Linked DNA regions of Macaca fascicularis. The protein of the gene in region 1 interacts with the protein of each later gene in a biochemical or structural test. Links are inferred from orthologs where the notes say so. Each region holds a gene or a part of one and is shown on either strand. Other genes may lie near its edges. The genes, in order: STAT1 and PRKCD.

Region 1 (10,487 bases):
ACTAATAAATGCACTGACATTAACCACTGACAGGGAAATATCTACCACTGTCTAGACTCTGCCTAATCAGGCAAAACTGCAGATCAAAACAGGCATCCTCCTGTGGGCACGGCATCCCCTGCCACCTGGGCCCACCTGAGTCAAGGGCCCTGGGTTTATGCTGCAGTGGGCAGGCCCCAGGACTTTATTCTTATCATGTCAGGGACTTCCTTTCTTCTCCCCCAGGTTAATGGTTAATAGGCCTTCATCTTTCTCATCCAGGAACTTATTTCAGTCACAAATAATATATTTTACATAATTCATAAAACTTTCCCTTGGGAATCCATCCCAGAAATCTTAATATGAGACAATGAGGAAAGGATTCATTTAAATGTTATCAGGTCCATATTTCTTTCTAAGGTGATATATGATTCTCACTTAGCTATAATAAACTATAGCTTGAAAAGCTAACAGATTTTAATACTTTTTTACCTTTAACAAAATAGCAGAGGGGAAAAGAGCAATTAGAGAGGTATTTTTATGAATTTCAATTCTTATAAACGTAACAAGTTAATATGCATATACCAAGAAGCTTCTCTCCCAACATGTTCAGCTGGTCCACATTGAGACCTCTTTTGGTGACAGAGGAAAACTGCCAACTCAGCACTTCTGAAAGCTGAGCCCAACGTGCACATGGTGGATTCAGGAAGAAGGACAGATTCTAGAGAGAAAACACCCAAAATCGAAGGGTTACTACAGAGACACCAGTCACAAGTGTGGCACTAAAACATATGTCCATCCCAAAGTTCAATTCTAGTTTATGTGACACACAGGTGCTTTCACAGTAGGGGAAGAGAAATACAGTCAATTTTCACTATTTACAGATGCACATTTGTGAACTTGTTTACTCACTAAAATTTACTTGTAACTCCAAAATCTAAGCACATGACGTCTTTGGGGTCATCTGAAGACACACCCATGCACACAGCAGCAAAGAATTTGAGTCTTTTAACACTTATGTTTCCAACTGAAGCCAAACAAAATGACACTCGCTTCCTGTTTCAGCTCTCATAAGAAAAACGTGTCCTTTTTGAAGCCTATTTAGTGCCATGTTTTTGCATTTTGTGATTGCTGTTGGTGATCACTGTTTAAAATGGTGCCCAAGCATAGCGCCACAGTGTGGTATACTGTTCCTAAGCACGGGAATGCTGGGATGTGCCTTATGGAGAAAATACATGTGTGAGGCAAGCTTCACTCAGGCGTGAGTTACCCAGTAATCCTGACTATAGGTGTAATGTTAATGCCTCAGCAAGTATATTAGATAAGGTGTCTTTAAACAGAAACACACATAAACAATGTTATGCATTGATGGGGTGACAAAAATGTTGTGACCAGAGGCTTGAAGGAACCTAGCCTTGTAGTTCCCTTAGGAGCAACAATTCATTATTTGCTAATTAAGTGTTCCTGGTAACTTCAAAAAACATAACTACTTTGAATAATGATAATGACTATAATTAATTAACAGTGAGTATCCACACTCTTAAGAATGGAGCATGCTTGTTTAGTAGATGTACACATTTTAAAAATAATAATGATGAAGTGGTATGGAATCACTGAGTGCCCTAGCTTACTCACATGGCAGAAAAATCATAATTCTCATTTCAAATACATATCCATGCTTCACATTCCCAGATTTACTCAAAAGCCTTAGAAATACCACAGGAGCTTTGTCACTTCTCCCTCAACAACTGGCCATTGGGGCTATTTCAGAGATGCAGCAGCGAGAGCATGGGGTCTGCTTAACCCTGGGACCAAAGCAAATGTATTTTCCATACCCTGGGTTCCGCCACCAGCATGTTGTACCAAAGGATGGAGGCCCAACCACTCGGGAGCTGGCTGACGTTGGAGATCACCACAACGGGCAGAGAGGTCGTCTAAAGGATGACAAAGACCTTGAAATCATCTGAATCACAGAAATGTCACCTTCAGATAACTGCTTAGCCTCAACTAAAAGCAGGGGATTATTTGTAAATTTGTACATATTTAATACTTGAAAATGAGAAATGTTAAGTTCTGTTCTTTTGTCCAGTTTAATTTGTCTTTGATATATCTTTCAGTTAAGAAATAAGTCCCTAAAAATAATAATAGCTACAATAACTAATTAAGGGGTATGCAATATGAGAAGATGAAAATTGTCACAATGAAAACACAAAATGTGGAGGGAGGGCAGAGGAAAATAAATAAGTCCTAATGCTTACTGTAAAAAAAATTAACATCAGCTATCTCAACTGGAACATTTAAGTTATAGAATTTGAAGGTTAATTCAATTCTCTAGCTTTCTGGACCATAAATTAAGGTTAAGGTAGTAGTAGCTGAAAAATATCATTTTTAAAACAATTAGGTAAATATCTCTAAAACAAAAACTGAGAAATAAAAATACACGTAACAATTAAAAGTAAAAATAATGAAGTTTTCCACCTCAGGACCATAAAAATAAAAGTCTTACCTCGAGGTCAATTACCAAACCAGGCTGGCACAACTGGGTTTCAAAACTAAGGGAGTGAAGCTCTTCAGTAACGATGAGAGGACCCTTGGAAGAGAAAAGGAAAGAAGAAAAGAATATAACCACTTATTCACAGATCCTGAAACTTTCAAAAGCCCAATTAACATTGCAACAGGCCACAGAGATCCTGGACCCAACCAGCAGCAAGTCCAAAGACTCAATATTGAATCCCTTCCAGATTTAATGATTCTGAGTATCAGTGTGCTCTGAAAGATAAGTGCCTGAAGTTATGGCAAGGATTATAGATTCAGAGCAATAAATGTCAATGGGGAAAGAGCAACTAATGGCTTTGTGACCTAAGGCTTCTCAACCCTCAGCTCTGTCTGCCTGCCCAGTGTGGCTGCACATCTCAATGCAGATGGGTGGGGAGGAGGTGAGAGGGCTGGGAGTAAGTGCACACTTGGGATTGTCTACTGCCTACCAGAAAGGCTGACTCACATCAACTTGGTAGGTCACAAGGTGCTTTGGTTTTGGTAGAAATGGATAGATTTCAAAGTGCCTTCATAGACATTACCTCATGAGAACCTCACAACTTAGAACTAGAGAGGTACAACTGCTAGACGCAGGGAGGTCAAAACAGTTCAGGTGCACACCAGGGCTAGAAGGCATCTTTGCACTGCCTGGGCCTGTGTGTGTCCCGCTGCTCCATGTGACCTCCACTGGTCCTGGTGTGGAAGGACTGCACGCTGTGTGTGCATAAAGGACGAAAGTGTTCTAAACCAAAACAACTCCAGATATTTCATCCTTTGTCCATAGTTCATTTCTGAATGCATCACAAACCCAACTTCTTAAGGATCACGTTGTAGGAAGGAAACTGATGCAAAGGCAATGCTTCTGGTAGGGGATGCCACGGCCAAAAAGCCCTCTTGGCACACAGCAAGGCAGTCATCAAAGTGGCCTCTCATTCCAACTCTGACAGTAACTCTCTGTGCACCCTTAGCTAAATCCTGCAAACTTCCTGTGACTCAATTTCTTCACCCGTAAGATGCGAAGAATACAAAAGCCCACAATAGCTACTCCACTGAGTGTCCAATGAATTTGTGTGCAAAATCGTTTGACAATAGTAAAGTACAAATGTGGTGTTTTTACTGTTGTCACAGATATACCAAGTACCCAGCTCACTTGCTGCTCTTCCCTGCTGGGTCTGAACTCCTCTGTGAGGTGTCCCCAGCCACCAACTGACCTGCCCTTGCTAGACAGACCTGCCTGATTTGGGCCCATTCACAACATAAAGAGACTCTCACCTCATTCGTTCTGGTGCCAGCATTTTTCTGTTCTTTCAATTGCTATAAAACAAATAATCATCTTATTAAACACCATGGTAATGGTCAAAGTTGCTATCTTCATTTACAAATGAGAACAAAGTTAGGACTAGAAAGAATGACAGACGTGACACTATCTTTAGAATGCAGAACATGGGACAAAATGGCCCTCGTTCTGGGTCCATGAGCAGAAGCACGTTTCCCCAGAGGCCTGATGGTGCAGACACCAGTCTGGAGGGATCTCTTGGAATCGCCACCGGCTCCTCTCCTGTGTTCAAACTTCCCCTGAATGATTCCCCCGTGCACCTTCGTTAGCTGTTTCATGCCCCGAGGCTCAGGGGACAGCTTCACCCTCCCCTTTCCCTCAGCAGAGTCCTCCAGGCTGGGCCCAGTGACTCCAGGTCCAAATGCCCTCAAGTGGACATCAATCCCTGAGCTGCCAAGGGAGCAGGCTGGGGCCCTGAGGGTGGCTCTGAACACCCTCAGGCAGCTGAGTTGGGCTAAAGCTTCCAAGTCAGGTAGAGCTTCCTAGCTAGGAGGCTTGCTGGATCACAAAGCGGTCTCTAGTGGAAAAGGATGCCTTTAACCTCCTGCAGGTTCTGAGCCCAGGGAGAGCTTTGGACGCAGCACCCACAGAGCCTCACAACAATTGGCAGCCCCTGTGTTCACAGAGGAGGAAAGATGGCACAGCCCACAGAGAGCACCCCGCTGGGTCTCTACTGCCTGGGGAATGAGCTCTACTGCCCTGGAGACAAGGTGGCAGAGTCAGGCTGCCGTGGAGGCAGGGGCTGTGGGCAGGGCCGCCAGGAAGGGGAACACAGGGGCTGAGGAGTGAACCCTGGAGTACGGGACCACACTTGGAGGGTGGGGGAAATCACAGTCAGGACACGGGAGCCATAACCTTTGAGAAAACTGCAAGCGTCTACAGTGAGTGACTGTGGGGATCATGCAGGCAGCAAGTGCAAATCATTTACGTATACACAGGCTTATAAATTGTTTTTACCGTGAGTGATACAGCCCAGAAAATGGAGTGAACAGTCATGGGATGAGGAGGAGAAATCAAAATGCCCCAAGTGCTGGTGACAGGAAGTCACCAGCCACAAAGTCTGCAAACCCCAGCAGGGGGGCGCCGTCCATATGGCAACGTGCCAAAAAGGGTCGCTCTGTTGTCAAAAGTCCTAAGAAACCAGAGACAAAGACAGGAAACTCATGTCCCTACCAGGTGCCGAAATTCAGCCGCCAGACTGCCATTGGTGGACTCCTCCATGTTCATCACCTTTGTGTGCGTGCCCAAAATGTTGAACTTCCTAAATCTATACGATATGGGAAAGAAATGCTGAAAAGTCTTCCAACTATTAAACAAATAAAAATATAGCACAGTGTAGCATAAAGTACATCACGTACCCTTTTACTGTATTTCTCTCATTCACATCTCTGCAAAAAAAAAAATATATAATCACATATGTGTATTTAAAATTTGAAATAAGCTTAAACAAAATTATAAGAGTATAAGAACATAAGAGTGTTAAGTGAATGATAAATAAAAAATAAATCTACACCTGTGGGTTTGCGGCCTTTCATTCACTCCCTGCCTCAATCTACCCATATTAGGTCTGGCAAGTATCACTGAATGACCTTGGGCAAATAAATGGTCTGGGCCTCACGTTGTTCATTTGCACAACATACTAACAGTGCCAACATACGGGACATTGTGAGGAATAAACTAGTTAATTCCTCACCAGTACACCCTCAATAAATGTAAGCACCAGCACCAGTACACCCTCAATAAATGTAAGCTATCGTTATTGTTCATTGGGCAGCTACTTGGTGCAAGGCCCTGCACTAAGCACTGGGTATCCAGCAGACAGCACTGCCCAGTTGTCACAAAGCTCAGAGGACTGCCAATGTGACCATTTAATCCTCATTTTTATTCTCTATGATCTTTAATGCTCTCATGAAAGTACCAGAAGAGTCAGTTATCTGGGATAAGTGGGAAGTTTAAGTTCAAAGTCTGAGGTTGAAATTTTGAAAGACTTTGCACTTTTATATCCAGTGATTACTTTGTCACGTTCTGGCCAAATAATGTATCCATGAGTGTCCTAGATGTAGACTAGAAATCATGGGCTCACTCACAGATCTATTAGTTCCCCTTCCTTTCCAATCTCAACCAGAAGTTTAATGCTTTTGCGAATGACAATCACCATTAGCTATGGGAGGGACCTATTTTCCTGTTTGGAAAAAAAAGAATTTAAAATAAAAAGAATAGTATGATAAAAGCTGACTTTTCAAAGCTAAGAAGACAGTCAGCTGGAACCGACAGAAAAGACACAGGGGCCTGAAGCAGCTGAGAGGAGCTGAGCTGACGCAGAGGACGGTAAACTGCAATGGCCACACGACCCTTGTGCTTCTTCCCTTTAGGAAGTAGGATGTATTTCCCTGTCCCCCGAATCTCAGCTGGCCTTGATTTGCTTTTAGCAACTGGATGGAAAGGAGTGATGCTATACACGTTCCAAGGCTAGCACTAACAGGCCTTGTTCACTTGGAACACTGTCACCGTGGGAAAAGCCCAGGCTAGCCTTTTTGAGATGTTTGAAGAAGGACCTGGTTATCCCAGCTGAGTCCCAGTCACGTAATAAGGCCTTGCTAGAGCACCTGGCTCCAACCACGCTAGCCCAGACCAGGACGACCTACAACTCACAGAATATGAGAAATGAGTTTTTGAGGTTTTAGCCACTACGTTTTTTTTTTTTTTTTGACAGTCTCATTCCATCACCCAGACTGGAGTGCAGTGGCATGATCTCAGCTCACTGCAACCTCCGCCTCCCAGGTTCAAGCGATTCTCGTGCCTCAGCCTCCCAAGTAGCAGGGATTACAGGTACACACCACCACACCTGGCTAATTTTTTGTATTTTTTGTAGAGACGGGGTTTCGCCATGTTGGTCAGGCTGGTCTCAAACTCTGGCTTACGTGATCTGCCCGCCTCAGCCTCCCAAAGTGCTGGGATTACAGGTGTGAGCCACCGCGCCTGGCCTAGCCACTAAGTTTTAAGAGTGGTTTGTTAGGGAGCAAAAGCTAACTGATATACCAAAGATGATGGCATGAAGACAAGGCACAGACCATGCTACAAGGAAGAATATTCTTATAGGAATGGGAAGAAGCAAAAAGCCAGAGGAAAATGATTTGAATGATCATAAATCACTTTTGAAACTTGCCACACCAGTATGTGACACAAGCTAACAAAAACATTAAATATGGGAGGGGTGGGAGGAGCCATCTTGTTCCTTAATGAGAGTGCCCAAGTCAGTGCCAGCCCAGGTCTAGAGTCTCAGGGCAAAATAGAATGGGGCTGCTCCACTTGGACTCCCATGAGATGCCCATTCCTGGGTTCCCACTGCCCAGAAGAGACAAGGGTGAATCCCACAGGCTCCACACAGTCTCCCCAAGATGCTGCTGATCTCACTCCAAAAAAACCCTCCAAATGACCACAGAATCACGGCAGCCTGGATATTCGGCCTCAGGTTGGATCAGGGGCCTCTCCTCTGGGGCTGAGCTAGAAGGAAGGGGTGGCATGCCAAGTCCAGCCACTTTGAAACTTGCTGATTACAATGTGATATGCATAAAGAGACACTCACTCTCTTGTTCAGTTATAGTCTAAAAAGGCTCAGGAATGTTGATAACAGCTCCAGGGGAAGCTCCCAACATCCACCAAGGGAGCTGCTGACTTAAATCTGCTGGGATCATTTGTGACGGCCCTGGTGGATCGGACTAGGAGTCTCTGCTCATATGCAGCATTGGCAGGACTCTGGGTTCAGCCCTGGGGCCCTAGGGAGGCAAACTTCCACCCAGTGTAGACCCTTCCACAGCTAGTGAATCTGCTTATCTAGTGCAGGAGTCTGTGCTTGAGTAACAAAATCAACATTTCAGTAGTACACGTATGTTACATAATATTAAAGATATCTTACTTATCAAATAAGACTTTGACTTTCAAATTATAATTCAGCTCTTGCAATTTCACCAACAGTCTGGAAAGAAAAATAAAAGCCATTACTAAAAAAAAAATTATCTGTTACAATTTATTTATTATGCCAATTCCCTATTAACGTTTAGATAAACCACTCCCCACCCCCGTTTTAGGGCATTACCAACAAGAAAACTGACAGTTTTGTAGATCTACTTAAATTTTTGTAAGAATAAATTCCTAGCCGTGGAATTGCTTAGGAAAAATTGTCACACTAATTCTGACAGGATGCAGCCCTGAGTTTACATTCCCACCAAAAGTTAATGAGGGTAGCTGTTTCCCTCCATAACCTTGCCAATATTGGGATTCATCACAATGTCGACCTTTGGCCAATTTATATGGGTGAAAAATAGCAAATGTTACTTTCTACTGAAACTTGTATCTAATCTTTGTCCTGTTGGGAGACAATAAAAACCATTGCCCATAATCAGAAAAAATAATGTCCCATCTATAGTCACCCCTGGGTAGTGTGGAAAGATGGAGGGCAGGTGAGGGTGTGTGCCTGTGCCCCACTGAGCTGGAGACCTTGGGAAGGAGACCCCAGGGCTCTGCCTGCTCCGTTCAGTGGAGCAGGTGGATGGGATCAGATTTCTACTGTCCCTTCCAGCTGCGAGTTCTAGAATTCCACGAGGGCTTGAGTGTGGCATTGTACACTACCAGCCAGGGAGGGTTAACCACAGACTTAAATCAGTAACACCCCAGAAAAAGGACCCGGTCCAACTCTGAAGGTCAGTCCAGTTCTTCATCATAAGAAGAATGCTTAAAGCAATGCGGCCATTCAACAGAAGAAAGTAAGGCCACATGTTCCTGGAAACACTTCTACAATTATTATTGAGGAGAAAGGGTACAAAACAATGTATATAGCCTACCCTGAGTTTTTTTAAAAAGAAATATGTCATATTTGTGTGTGTGTGTCTATATGAAATATTTGTGTAGACATGGAATCCTAATTTTTTAAAAAGGAAACATTATGTCATATTTGTGCGTGTGTGTTTCTGTATGAAATATGTCCTTGTGTAGACAAGGATAAAATCCTGGGAGGACAGACACTAGGTCATTTACTGTGGTGGTCCACAGATATTTATATCACGGACTGCTTTGAGAATCTGATGAAAGCTATAAATCCATTCATCAGAAAAAATGTACATATTATAAATCCACATTCATACAGTTTCTGGGGTTCATAAGGCTCAGGTTATAAGCCTATGCCCAAGAGGGGTGAGGCAGCCGGGAACTTTCACTCTCTATTACACACATTTCTGCAATTTGGAATTCTGTTTTCCTGTGAACATGCATTACATTTATGATTGGAAAAAAATCAGGAGTGTGTACATATATGTATATTGGTTACATTCTACTATGAGTATATTAATAAAAGACTCTCAGATATTCTCAGTAAGCGTTCATATTAAAATGCCCCCTGAAAAATTATTTCCTCAAAAGTACCCTCAATAACAGTTTTTATAAAAGGAAACTAGGGGTACAAACTACATGACAGGCGATGTATGGGATGCCATCTTTCCCTTGTTACCTCAACTTCACAGTGAACTGGACCCCTGTCTTCAAGACCAGCGGCCTCTGAGGGTGCGTTGGCATGCAGGGCTGTCTTTCCACCACAAACGAGCTGCAAATACCCAGCAAAGGATAGATAAGTTAGCATTTCCATTAAGGTTGAGGCAGTCACAATGATTTTCCCAAAAGAAAAAAGGGGGTTAGAGAGTACAACCTAAAAAATAGTTTGAAAGATTCTGACAAGTTGGATGAACAAATTGATATTTTCTAATTAGTAAAGAAATCCCAAAACCTAACAAGGACTTAACAGAAACAGAATAATCGTAATGATCTATGAAACTATTACATTGAAACAAACTTATACAATGAAGGCTAGGCACAGTGGCTCATATCTGTAATCCCAGCACTTTAAGAGGCTGAGACGGTAGGATTGCTTGATCCCAGGAGTTCAAGACCAGCCTAGGCAACATAGTGAGACCCTATCTTTACGAATTTTTTTTTTTTTAATTAGCCAGGCATGGCTAATTAGCCCCAACTACTAGAGGGCTGAAGTGGGAAGGTCACTTGAATCCAGGAGGTGGAGGCTGAAGTGAGCCATGATCACACCACTGCACTCCAGCCTGGATGACAGAGTGAGGCTCTGCCTCAAAAAATAAAAATAAAAAAATAAAAAACCCATATTTAATTATGTTCATTTACATGTCAGAATTAAGAATAAAATGTGCACTCAAAGTACTAGTAATGTTTTTAAATTAAAAAAAAACTCAACATACAGGACTTCTTGTTTGAACATTAGCCATAGGGAACCAAGCAAATTTTTTTTTTTAGACAGAGTCTCACTCTGTTGCCCAGGGTGGAGCTCAGTGGTGTGATCACTGCAAGCTCCGCCTCCCTGGTTCACACCATTCTCCTGCCTCAGCCTCCTGAGTAACTGGGGCTACAGGTGCCTGCCACCATGCCTAGCTAATTTTTTTTTTGTATTTTTAGTAGAAATGGGGTTTCACTATGTTAGTCAGGAGTACATTTTTAAAAAATATTACTTCCAATAACTACGATATTTATTAAACATATCTTCAGTTGTTTTGTTACACAGTATGCAACAAATTACAATATTCTGCAGCCACAAATTATATGCAGAGTATGAAGAAGCTAT
Region 2 (11,282 bases), on another chromosome or scaffold:
AGGCTCATTCATAGAGCTGCTGGGAGCTGCCTAGTCACTGAGATGCAGCCCAGCCATCACCACTCTCAAGGGGGCCATGACTACCAGAGCTGATGCTCTTGAGCCTCGGCTTACAGGGTCAGAGCAAGAAAGGTGCGGGGACGAGAAAGTTGTGGAGACTGCAGGGGACTTCATGACCTGGCCCCTGCCCTTCTCCTAGAGCCCCCGAAAAAAGCCTGGGCAGCCCTGGCAGTGAAAAGCCTGGTCAGTCAGCCTAACCCGGTGGCCAGATGCTGCTCCCCTGGGCAGGCAAGGCAGGGGTGGAGCAAGGCGTAGAGCTGCGGACGGAGGGCTGGTCAGTCCCACTCCAAAACCACTTCCTGGGCAGCCCAGAGGAAGTGAGCCTCCGGAAACGCCTCGGACAGACAGGCCCAGCCTTTGGGAAGTGAACAGACCGCCCCTGCCAACCTCTTAGTCCCTAGAGCCCAGCAACTCCACTCCCTCTAGCCATGGATGCTGTGGGGGACACAGGCGTTGTGATAGGACCCCCACCCACTGTGGGCACACTGGCCTCATGGCCAGAAAGCCTACTTCCTCTGCCGTGGCACTAGGCACACGGTGCTGGCACAGCTGACACGCATCTCCCCTGCACTCGTATCTCCCATCTCCCATCTCCCATGCCAAGCCCTGGTCGGCCTGGAGCCTGGGGCCAGGTGGGAGGGTGGCTGCTGAATGCATGGGCAGAGCCCACCTACCAGGGTGGCCCAGCCCCCCTTAACCCCCTGAGATCACAGCCACACCTGGAACTTCCCCCTCAGGTGCCAGATGCAGGCGACCTTGCTGGGCTGTGACTCTGACCAGGGCCCCCCTTCCTGACCCCAGAATGGGCACAGTGTGGTATGTGTGGGAAGGCATTTGAGTGCATGGATGCCAATGGTAACTGGGAGATCATCTGTGTGTGCGTGAGTGTGCCATGGGTGGCTGCATGTGAGCACCTGTGTACCTGCACGCCCACATGGGTGGTGCACGCACTCATGAGTCTGTGGGTGTGCATGGCCACTGCAGCCTGGCTTGCCATATCCCTGTGTGAGCACGCATATGTCTGTGCAGCAGGCGGGTGATGTCTGAGGATTTACCGTGGGCTGTCTCCAAGACTAATCAAACTCCTTAGAAAACAAGGCTGAGTGACAGAAAGGGCTGGCTCTTCAGAACTCCGGTGGCAGAGGCCCCTACACAGCCAAAGGCACTTCACTTCCTCCACACCAGGTTTAGGGATAGGTCCAATACACAGAAGGCCCAGTGAAGACGACTCCTGTTCTGCCCCAACTCCTACCCCAGGAGTGAGGGCCCTGACCTCCTTTCTGCCCCCTAACCCAGAGTCAGGCCCAGGAAGCCCAGCCCTTATGGCTCTACTCACAGACCTATAAGTGTGTAACAGCCAGTGGGGTTGGCTGCGGTGGTCTGCTCAGGGAGCGCTCCTGGAGGAAAGACGGTCTTTGCTATCCCCCCACTGTCACTCCCAGGCTCAAGCTTCATTAGCACCCATACCCACCACCAGAACCCTGCTCACTGGGGCCCAGTCACCCAGTCACCAGCCTGGAGTGAGTATGGAGTCACCCACAGCAGTGTTTTCATGGTAATGGGGCTGAAGGAGGCAAGGCTTGCCCCAAAACGAGGAATTTCCAGCTTTCTGAGGCTCTTCAGAGAGACTGCAGCCTTCCCAGCATTGTTCCAGACTCTGCCTAACTCCCCTTGAATTTGGAAGCTGACGAGAGGGACTGAGCCCTGCTCGGGCTCTAGAGAAGTGGGGAAAATGGAGGGGCCTGGGGTGTGGAAGACAGCTCAGCTGTACCTGGAGACCCCATTCCATCCCCCCGCAGCGTCCAACTCACTGTGGGGCCCACGGGGAATTTCAGTGTCCTTGTGTGACGATGAGGACAGTTGGAGGCAGATACAGGGCCAAGGAAAAGCTGATACATCCACCCTCAATCCTTGGCCCACGAGCCACCCTCTCTCTAACTGACCAAAAAAGTGTTACTACTTCTTGCCCCAAACTCATGGTAGGCCCCAGGCCTCTGAGCTCCAAGGCGAGAGCATTCGGGGCCAGAGCCAGGTTCCAGGCGGGAAGTTCCTCATGAGCAGAGAGCCCCTCCATAGACAGGGCAAACAGCTGCGGCCCCTGGGCACATAGGGCCCACAACCAGATCAAGGACTCTGCATGCATGCCCAACCCCATCCAGTCCCACAGCAAAGGACAGGGAGGACAGAGAGGAAGGCCACGCCTGAGCACCGTCCATCTGCCTAAGAGAACTCAGTCCTACCTGGGGCTCCCAGCTCCCGCTTGTCCTTAGTCCTGGCTCCTGCTGCTGCTGCAACGCACCAACCACCAGGAGAAACCGGCCTGCACCCTTGCCTGGCCAGTTCCCTGCAGACCTGCAGGAACAGGAGGAAACAGCTGAACCGGGAGGCACCGCCAAACAGGCTCTCCCCATCTGCCAGTCCCGGCATGGCTGACAGGCCCAGTTCAGTCTCTCCTGGCCCTAAAACCTTGGGTCTCTCTGGATGTGGCTTTCCCTTCCTTGAAATGTAGTGTTGGGTCCAACTTTTCCTGGACACCACTATGTGTCCATTCCATGTTAGGGGCTGGAACACTGTGTCCCTGCCCTCAGCACATTTCCAGCCTGGTGAGGAAGCCAATAACACAGCAAAAACCTGTTCCCGACTCTCCTGTCTGCGGGAGGTTGCCCTGCAGGCTTAGGAGTCCTAGGGTGCAATGAAGTACCACACCACTTTATGGCCTGGGGCAATTCCTCTGAGCCTCAGTTTTTTTAATGGAGAAACTGCTAGCCCCCTCTCCCCAGGTGGTTCTGAGGTTCCAATGATGTGGCGTGCAAGCTCCTGTGCTGGACTCACGTTGAGAATGCCAAATGACTGATTTTTTTTTTTTTTTTTTAATGTGGCAGGGTCTCGCTCTATCGCCCAGGCTGGAGTGCAGTGGCACAATCTTGGCTCACTGCAACCTCCACCTCCTGGTCTCAAGTGATTCTTGTGCCTCAGTCTCCTGAGCAGCTGAGATTACAGGCGCGCACCACCGCGCCCAGATAATTTTTGTATTTTCAGTAGAGACAAAATGTTGTCCAGGCTGGTCTCAAACTCCTGACCAAGTAATCTACCGCCTCGGCTTCCCAAAATGCTGGAATTACAGGTGTGAGCCACTGTGCCCAGCCTGAAGAGTGACATTTTTTAATCTCTTGTTTTGTGCATTATAGTTCAGGTGATTCTCACGTTACTATTGTGCCCATTACACAGCTGAAAAAACTGAGGCCTGGAGATATCCTGGAAGGAAGAAATGGCAAAGGTAGCAAGGAACTCTGTGTCTCCTGGCTGAAAGGCCTAAGCATTTTTTCTGACAGCCAGCTCAAGCCTCTAAGAAAGATTCTGCTCCCCAGATGTGAGCCCCTCCCCCAGCTGGAGACCCTCATCACCATTCCCTGGGGATAGAGGCATCCTTGGCTTTATCTTTTCGTCTGTACTTTAAATTATTTCTAATTTTAATCTAAACTGTGCCAGCTAAATGGTGTCAGCGCCCTGCAGTCACAGCTCTGAATCACTCCCCACCCCTCTCTCCCCCATTGCTGCTACTGACACTAACGGCTGGTGAGGGAGGGGCTGTCATGCAGGCTGAACAGGGCTGGGTACTAGGGGCTTTGTCTGGGCATCCTCCCTCCCTCAAGCTGCTTGGTCAAGGAGATGGGAAGGGGCAACAGACAGGCAGGAAATTGGGTTGGATACTGTCTGGGCTTTCTTTAACCCCAGCTCCCAGGAGAATGGGAACCATATAGCCGGGGGTGGTGACAACATAAGACTTCAGGACCTTTTGTCCACACAACTTTCTCCATTCTGCAGATAAAGACACTCAGCCTTGAGAGGCCTAGCTTGGGTCTCTTGCTCTTAACAGGCACAAGCAAGTATTGGAGCCCAAATCATTCTTGGATCCAGAGCCCGAGGTCTTGGTCACAACACTGCTAACCCCAAGACTTGCCCTCTAGCCCTCTCCATGTGCACACCCACATCCTCATGGTCTCCCACACACTCACACACCCATACTGGGCTCTCACCTTCCCTCCCAGCACTGTCACCACACACCTTGTCACACCCCCTCCTGCCGCTAACACCCACGCCCAGGCACTCTCCGTTCCCCACAATCACAGTCACTCCCCAAGCATAGACTGTGTCCCACCAGTCACACACTCCTACCATGACCACACACTGCCAGGCTTACCCCAGTACCGTCCCATCCCATAGTCCTCACACCACCCCTCAGCCAGGTACAGCTGCCCAGACACCTCCACACCTCTCTGTCTCACACACACACACAACTGCACACATCACACATGCGCCATACAGCCTCCCTCTGTTGGCCTGCCCACCGCGCCCCAGCTCACTCCACAGTAGGAACGAGGAAACCCCAGGGATCAGTCCCCTCCCTTAGTGACCAGGTGAGCCTGGTCACAGAAGCTCAGTGGCAGAGGGAGAGCCACACATGAGTACACGCACATACACACACTCATACAGATACACTCACACATGAGCCTGGTGGGCAGGCACCCAACACCAGGGGCTTCCACAATTAACAGATCTAAGGTACTTGTGGGCAGTTGGTCACCATGATATACCCAGTATGCAACACTGAAATCTCCAGACACACAGGGACACACACACTGGCAGACAAGGACACACACACACACACAAGTCTGGTGACAACAAAAACACCAAGAATGGTACACACAGTTGCAAAAGACACACACAGAGCCTCAGGACACAAACAGACATACACACATACACACAAGCAAGCCACACATGCGAAAAAGGACACACATGCACAGGCAAGTCCCACAGTGACAGCACAGAAGCTGACACAGACAACCCACACACCCAGATACCAGTGACTTAGCACAAGGAGATAGCGTCCATGCATACAGGGTAGGCATCAGAGAAGGGGACCCCCCCACACACTCACAGCAAATCCTTCTGACCAGGTTTAAGTGGGGGCTCAGTGGGGCTCTCCTGTGCCCCAAGAGTGAGGGAATTGGGGAAGTGGGAGCAGTTCCGATGGTGCTCTCCTTCTGCCTCTCCACCACCAGCCAGGAGGACTTCCCCCTCCCTCCCCTCACCTGGCAGAGCCCCCACAACGCGAGTGGCATCTGGGTTGGGGGCGGGTGCAGACCACACCGGGCAGGGGCCACCCTGGGAAGGGGTCTCAGAGGGGCGGAGGGGTGGGGCAGTAAGGGGGATGGTGGAGACTGGAGCCACGCCCAGCCCAGAGACGGATGAAGGGACCGAGAAAGACTCTTGAGACCGAAAGAAGAGACAGCGAGGAGGAGGCGCCGCGCGAGTCGGGCCTCCAGGGACCCAGGGGCGGGAGGCGAGGCCCGGCGGGCGGCCTGGCCTGGGCTCCGCGGTAGAGCGGATAGGCGGCTGGACCGGCAGGGGGCGGCAAGCGTGGGCCGGGGGCGCGGCTCCGGGAGAACGGGATCGAGGGGGCGGCCGGCGGGGGTAAGGGTGGGGGTGGGGCGATGGAGCACGCGGAGGGCGAGGGACAGACGGATCGGGTCTCGGAGAGGCGCGCAGGGGGAGAACACAGAGTGGGTGGCGACAGACGGACGGTCACAGGGCCCAGGAGACAGTCGGGAAGGACGGACGGGCCTCTCGGAGGAGCGGGAGACACACGGGCGGGCGGACAGAAAGACCTCAGCCCCCACTATCTGGCGGAGGGACGGACAGACAGACGGACGGGGGGACGGAGTCACCGGCATGTCTCGGCGCGGAGGGACTTTCGCTGACCGCGGCTCAGTTTCTCAGTTTCGGAAACGGGAACCGGGCCGGGGAGGGGAAGAAAGGGCGTCGCGCCCTCGGGGTAGCCCCGATCCCGCGCCGGGTCCCGGCCCTAACTCACCTCCCGGCGCAGGGGCAGGCGCCAAGGGTCGCGGCGGCGGTGGCGGGCGGGCGGCTCCTTGGCGCGCGCGGACGGCGGTCGGCGCGGCGCTGACTGGGACGAGTCCAGCGGCCAGTGAGGTGTGGCCCGGGCCTCGGCACGGCGGGCGGGCGCCGGGGGTCGCTCGGGGGATCTGGGCTGCAGCAGCCTCGGGCTCCGGCGCCGCGGCACACGGAAGTGCGAGGGGGCGGGGCGGCGCGACCTCACCCAGGTGCCGCCGGCCCCGCCCCCTCCAGGCCCCGCCCCTCCAGGCCCCGCCCCACCAGCTGCAACCGGGGACTGTGTCCCTCTGCCTCTTTCTGCGCGGGACACTGAGTCTCCCGGCCCCTCTGCCCTCTGTGGCCCGCTTCGCATCCTCCCGCCATTACGCGCAGCCAGCCCTCAGAAGGGGCCCATTTTACAGAGGAGGCCGCTGAGGCCCGATAAGGAGGCGCCCCCCGCCCGCTGGGGCCTGGGAGGCGCCGGCGGGGGTTCCCCCGCTCCCCACACCCACGCCCGGGACTCCCCACTAGCCAGCTGGCCCGCCTCCCTTGGCCCCACTCCTGCTCTTCCTGTTGGCTGGAACTCGGACGCGGCCGGGCTCGGTGCCCGCCGCCAAGCCCGCTGTCCCGGCTCTGCCCCAAAGACTGAGCTGGTTACACTCCAGGGCCGGAGGTTCTCGCTGGTCGGCCGCTGCACTGCTCCTCAGGCGGTTCTGGGACCTGCCCCTACCCCGACTGGCAGTTGCCCCTACCCCGATTGGCAGTCTTCTGCTCTCCTGCCCCCATCTTCGAGACCTCTCTATTGCTCCTGGCAGGCGCCTGAGCCTCCTTTCCAGACGTGGAACTTGGTTGTCAGCCATAACTCATTCATTCATTCATTCATACACTCATCCATCTATTCATCGAGTGTCCCCTAGGCTCAAAGTCTAGGGACCAGTTGGGGTTCTAGGGTGTCCATTCCCCTGTCCCCAGAGCTCAGAAAGCCAAGACATTATTCTTATACTGATCCAAAGAAATGTCACTTCCCAGGAGACAAAAAAGAGGGTTCCAGGTCCTGGGGAACCACCTAGAAGGGATAGGGAAAGTCTAAACACAAGGGATGGAAGTGGGGGACAATCCCAGAGGTGGCCTGAGCTGAGAAAGGGGCTTGTGACAGAGACAGGTTATTGGACTTTGGTCTTCTTACGGAGCAATGAGAAGGTGGTGAAAGCTGTTACAATCAGTCAGGACGACAGGCTCTAGAGGGCTCCTGCGGGATAGATGGGGCAGAGGGACTGCAGGGCAGAGGAGAGGCTGGATGGGGGACAGAAGGGCTGCCATGTTGTCAGCCACCTGGGTTGAGATTGGGGAAGATGGATGGGGAGAAAAGGTCAGACCAGGTGGGTTCCAGGACTATCCTTTGGGAAAGACATTTTTCTCTTCACACCCAGGCCTTGAGCATGCTGTTCTCTGGGCCTGAATGCCATTTCCCACCCCACCCCCAAACCTCTACCTGCCCTGGTTGTGTCCATTCAAATGCCCCTCCTGCCTGATGCCCAGTTGTAATGCACAGCACTTCCCTGAGCGAAGGACCATATTCATTAGCATGTTCTGTGTCCTGATACCATCCCACCCCACCCATCATGCCCCATGGCTTCCCTGGGGTTGGACTGGAGGAAAGGGTGCACAAGGTGAGCCTCAGGTGACCTTTGCCCACTTGGGATCAGGTTTCCTTCTGGCTCCTCCTTCAGGTTCACAGTAAGCCAACCCAGCCTCTCCCTCAACATAAACAATAGGCCCACCCTGTGCCAGGGACTGCAGCCAGAGGGAGGACTGACCCTTGTGGAGCTCCAGGTCCAGCCACCAGACCTTTGTGGCCTCCAGGTCCAGGCACCAGACCTTTGTTCCCACTCCCTGTGGTTCACCTTGGAAGAAGGAAATGAATAATCATGGCTATCGCTGATAGGGGCTACCCAGCACCAGGCTGTGTGCTGGGTGCTGGATGTGTGCAGTCGGAACAGTTAAGAGGTGAGGGCTACTGTTAGTGCCAGTTTTGGTGATGAGCAAACAGGCTCAGGGAAAGGAGAAGCGACTTGCCCCAGAGTACACAGCTAGTCAGTGGCAGAGGTGGATTCAGACTGAGGTCTCTCTGCCTCCAAAGCCCATAGTTTACATCAGGGATCTCAATTCCAACACCACTGACCTTTGGGACAGATGATTCTTTGCTGTGGGGGCTGCCCTGTGCACTGTAAGGATGTTTAGCAGCATTCCTGGCCTCTGCCTACTGGATGCCAGTAGTACCTCCCTGCTTTAACTTGTGACAGACAAAAATGTCTCCAAACATTGCCAAATGTCCGCTGCAGGGCAAAATTACCCCTTGTTGAGAATCACTGCTTTGACATATTCTGGTGTTACAGGAACAAGATTTACATTAGACAACAGGAAGCACTTTCCTGATCCTCAGGATATGCAGACTTGTGAGCTCAGGGGCTGCAAGCACACACTGGCTTCAGCCAATCTCTCTCCTCTGGAGAAAGGGGAAGTGTGATGTACTCAGAGGGGGGCAGAGGGGCTAAGGCTGTGCTGGCTATGCTGTGGCAAGGGCAGAGAAGGGATGAAGGTGGGCTTCCCTCCAGGCCTTAGGTCCAAGGGCCCCAGGGAGAACAGGTTTGCATGAGGTCCAGAGAGTCCAGGCCACGCTTGACTAGAACCAACCTGCATCTTGGAGCTGCTTCTGGGTGCCACACTGGTGGGCCAGGGCAGGGTCCAGATGAGCTGGTATCTGTGTCCCCATAATCTGCCTGGCATCAACAAGAAGGGCCTGCTGAAGCCTGAGAGCAAACCTTGGCTGTGTCACATGCTAACTGTATGGCCCTGAGTAGGTGACCGTGCCTCTCCCAGCTTTGGAGTTCTCACCTATGAAGAGAGCTGATGACAGACTCATGTCAGAGGTTGAATGAGATGATAAGGGTTAAATGAGATGATATATACAGAGCCTCAGCCAGGCTAAACACATTGCCCAGGGTTACAGCCTGTGACCTGGCATGGTCATGTGCCAAGTCATAGGCCGTCAGCCTTGAAAGAGCCTTCAATGGCCTCTCATGACATGGGACGTAAATCCCTGAGCAGGGCTAGACTCATAGCAGCTGCCTAGAGGTGGTACTTTTCCTCTTCCTCCAGGTTTGCAGCCAAGGAGATGGGCTAGGGGTGGCGCCAGGCAGCTTCCAGACTCCCACCCACGGCATCCACCCAGGGCTGTTCCCTCTGTGGACCTCCTGGAGGATTTATCCAAAGGAGAAGCAGCTTGACCCCTGTCACTTCTGCCTCCTCCAAAGGCCATGAACCCTGGGAGGCCTCCAGACTCCTCCACTCCTGAAGTCCAAGACTCGGCCAAGCAACCTGGAAAAGCCCTCCCTCTGTCCCTGAGGCCCACACAGCTGAAGGCAAATGGGGTCCCTCACTTGATCCCTGCCAAGAGTTGGTCCTTGTCCTGGCCTCTCTGCCTTTTGCACCTTCTCTCTGTTTCTGTCTCTCTGTGTCACCATCCTTGTCCCTGAAGCTTTGGTTGCCACGGCAATCCCCATCACACCCAGAGCACTGGCCTGGCCAAGACAGAGTGGGCTTGTGTTTCTGGAGCAGGAGACACAGTCAACAGTGGTAGTGCACCTGGGCAAGAGCCTGGGAGGTGCCCACTGGGGACAGTGTAGTAGGAAGGACACTTGGGACATGCCCATGCCTCAGGCCACCAAGACTGTCATCAACAGGAGTGTCAGCCTCAGGCACTAGGTTAAACACAAGCAAGGACAGGCTGAGGGGACAGTGGCCTTGTGGGTAGTACTGCATAGCAGGGAAGTGCCAGGCCAGGGGCTGGTTCACATCCTGGCTGTGCCCCGCACTGCAGCTTAAATGTGCCTCAGCTTCCTCATCTGTGAAGTGGAGTTTGGTAAGATCGACCTCCTGAGGCTGAGGGGATGGAAGAGTTCAAGTTCATCCCATGTTGGTGTTACCTGCCAGGCAGAGAGTTAGTGAGGCTGGGCTAATTGCCTCCATGTTCCTTCCTCAACACATTTGTGTTTGGGTGAAACCTGAGACATACTTGGGGGTAGACAAGGGGAAGGTGCGTCCTGGGAGTGCAGAACACAGGGCTTTCCTGTGGCTCTCCCGGGTTGTGTACCCTGGACTGTCCCTTCTCTGCACTGAAAATGGCATAGCTCCTGCCAGCCTGAGTCCCCTTTCCTGGCTCCTCTGCCCCGCCCCCAAACGTGTGTGTAGGTGGGGAGAAGGGGCACTGGTGTTGCGATAGTCATCAGTAAGAGCCATTCCCTCGCACGGAGGCCAGGGGACCTCCCAGCTCTCCTCCACTGCCCCCACCCACTCAGCTCTGATTTACAGGGTCCCTACTGGGAGGCTCTTGGGGCTTAATCACTCACGGTGGGGAGGTAGGGCAGGGAGGGCTATGAGCCTCACTCACCTTTCCTTTCGCTCCCTGGCCTGAGGGTGCCTCAGCTCCCTGTCCCCACCCCTCAACCCCCCATCCTCCACATCCTCAGAGGACAGCTCACTAAACCCAGCTTGGCCCATGGCAAACAGTGTGGGGGGTGGCCCTGAGCTGAAAGGCAGCCGCTCTAGGTGGGCAGGCTGGGAAGGACTGACTGCAGGCACAGCAGGGTCCCCCAAGCCATGCACACACCTCCATACTCAGAGCACAGTCGCGCACACGCTGGTCGGCGCGACTCCCGTGCACCAGCACAGAGAGGCCTCCGGGGCCCCGCCCTCCCCGTGCCCGCCCCGCCCCAGGGAAGCCTTTCGGAGCCCGGGACGGAGACGCACGCCCAGCCGGGTGACGGGTGACGCAAGCCCCACTATAAAACACCCGGCTCTATTCCCGGGTCCGGCAGCCACCTGGCTCCAGCCGTCTGGTGGCGCCTTTGCCTCCTCGCCCCCTTTGTTCTCCTTCCAGGAAAGTCAGGAATACCCCAGCTCACCCATTCCTTGGATGGCGCAACTGAGGTCCTAAGTGTGAGGGTTGTCTGGGGCACTACAGCTGGCCTCCTAGTGGGAAACTCTGAGAAGACCTTGAGGACTGGGGGCTGGATATGGAATGAGAGGTGAAGAGGGAGAGTCACTGAAACCTAGAAAAGTAGCCACACACGTTGGCCGTTCTGATTTAAAAAAAAAAAAAAAAAAAAAGTAATACATGTCTATTACAGCAAGGAAGACAGAGACAAGTTTACCGAGGAAAGTAGGAATCTCCCGTAATCGCACAGGTCATTTCATCTCCCCAGACAGACCTGCCCTCCGCACTGTCATTGCATTGCTACAAATTGTCTATTGAGGACACAATCGGG

The links.
Region 2: of the proteins of STAT1 (region 1) and PRKCD, one has a biochemical effect on the other in vitro, tested with the Homo sapiens proteins (2 studies listed by BioGRID). The link is inferred for Macaca fascicularis from reciprocal best matches to the Homo sapiens genes STAT1 and PRKCD.

Annotation. Positions count from the first base shown.
Region 1 is NC_088386.1:86,678,204-86,688,690, forward strand, and holds part of STAT1 (signal transducer and activator of transcription 1-alpha/beta), read right to left. Parts: intron 9,447-10,487; coding exon 9,354-9,446; intron 7,827-9,353; coding exon 7,767-7,826; intron 5,239-7,766; coding exon 5,209-5,238; intron 5,118-5,208; coding exon 5,024-5,117; intron 3,829-5,023; coding exon 3,787-3,828; intron 2,570-3,786; coding exon 2,486-2,569; intron 1,914-2,485; coding exon 1,815-1,913; intron 701-1,814; coding exon 565-700; intron 1-564. UniProt on the Homo sapiens protein: Signal transducer and transcription activator that mediates cellular responses to interferons (IFNs), cytokine KITLG/SCF and other cytokines and other growth factors.
Region 2 is NC_088376.1:116,293,046-116,304,327, reverse strand, and holds the start of PRKCD (protein kinase C delta type), read right to left. Parts: upstream 6,156-11,282; 5' UTR 5,936-6,155; intron 5,126-5,935; exon of another isoform or gene 5,000-5,125; intron 2,413-4,999; exon of another isoform or gene 2,301-2,412; intron 1-2,300.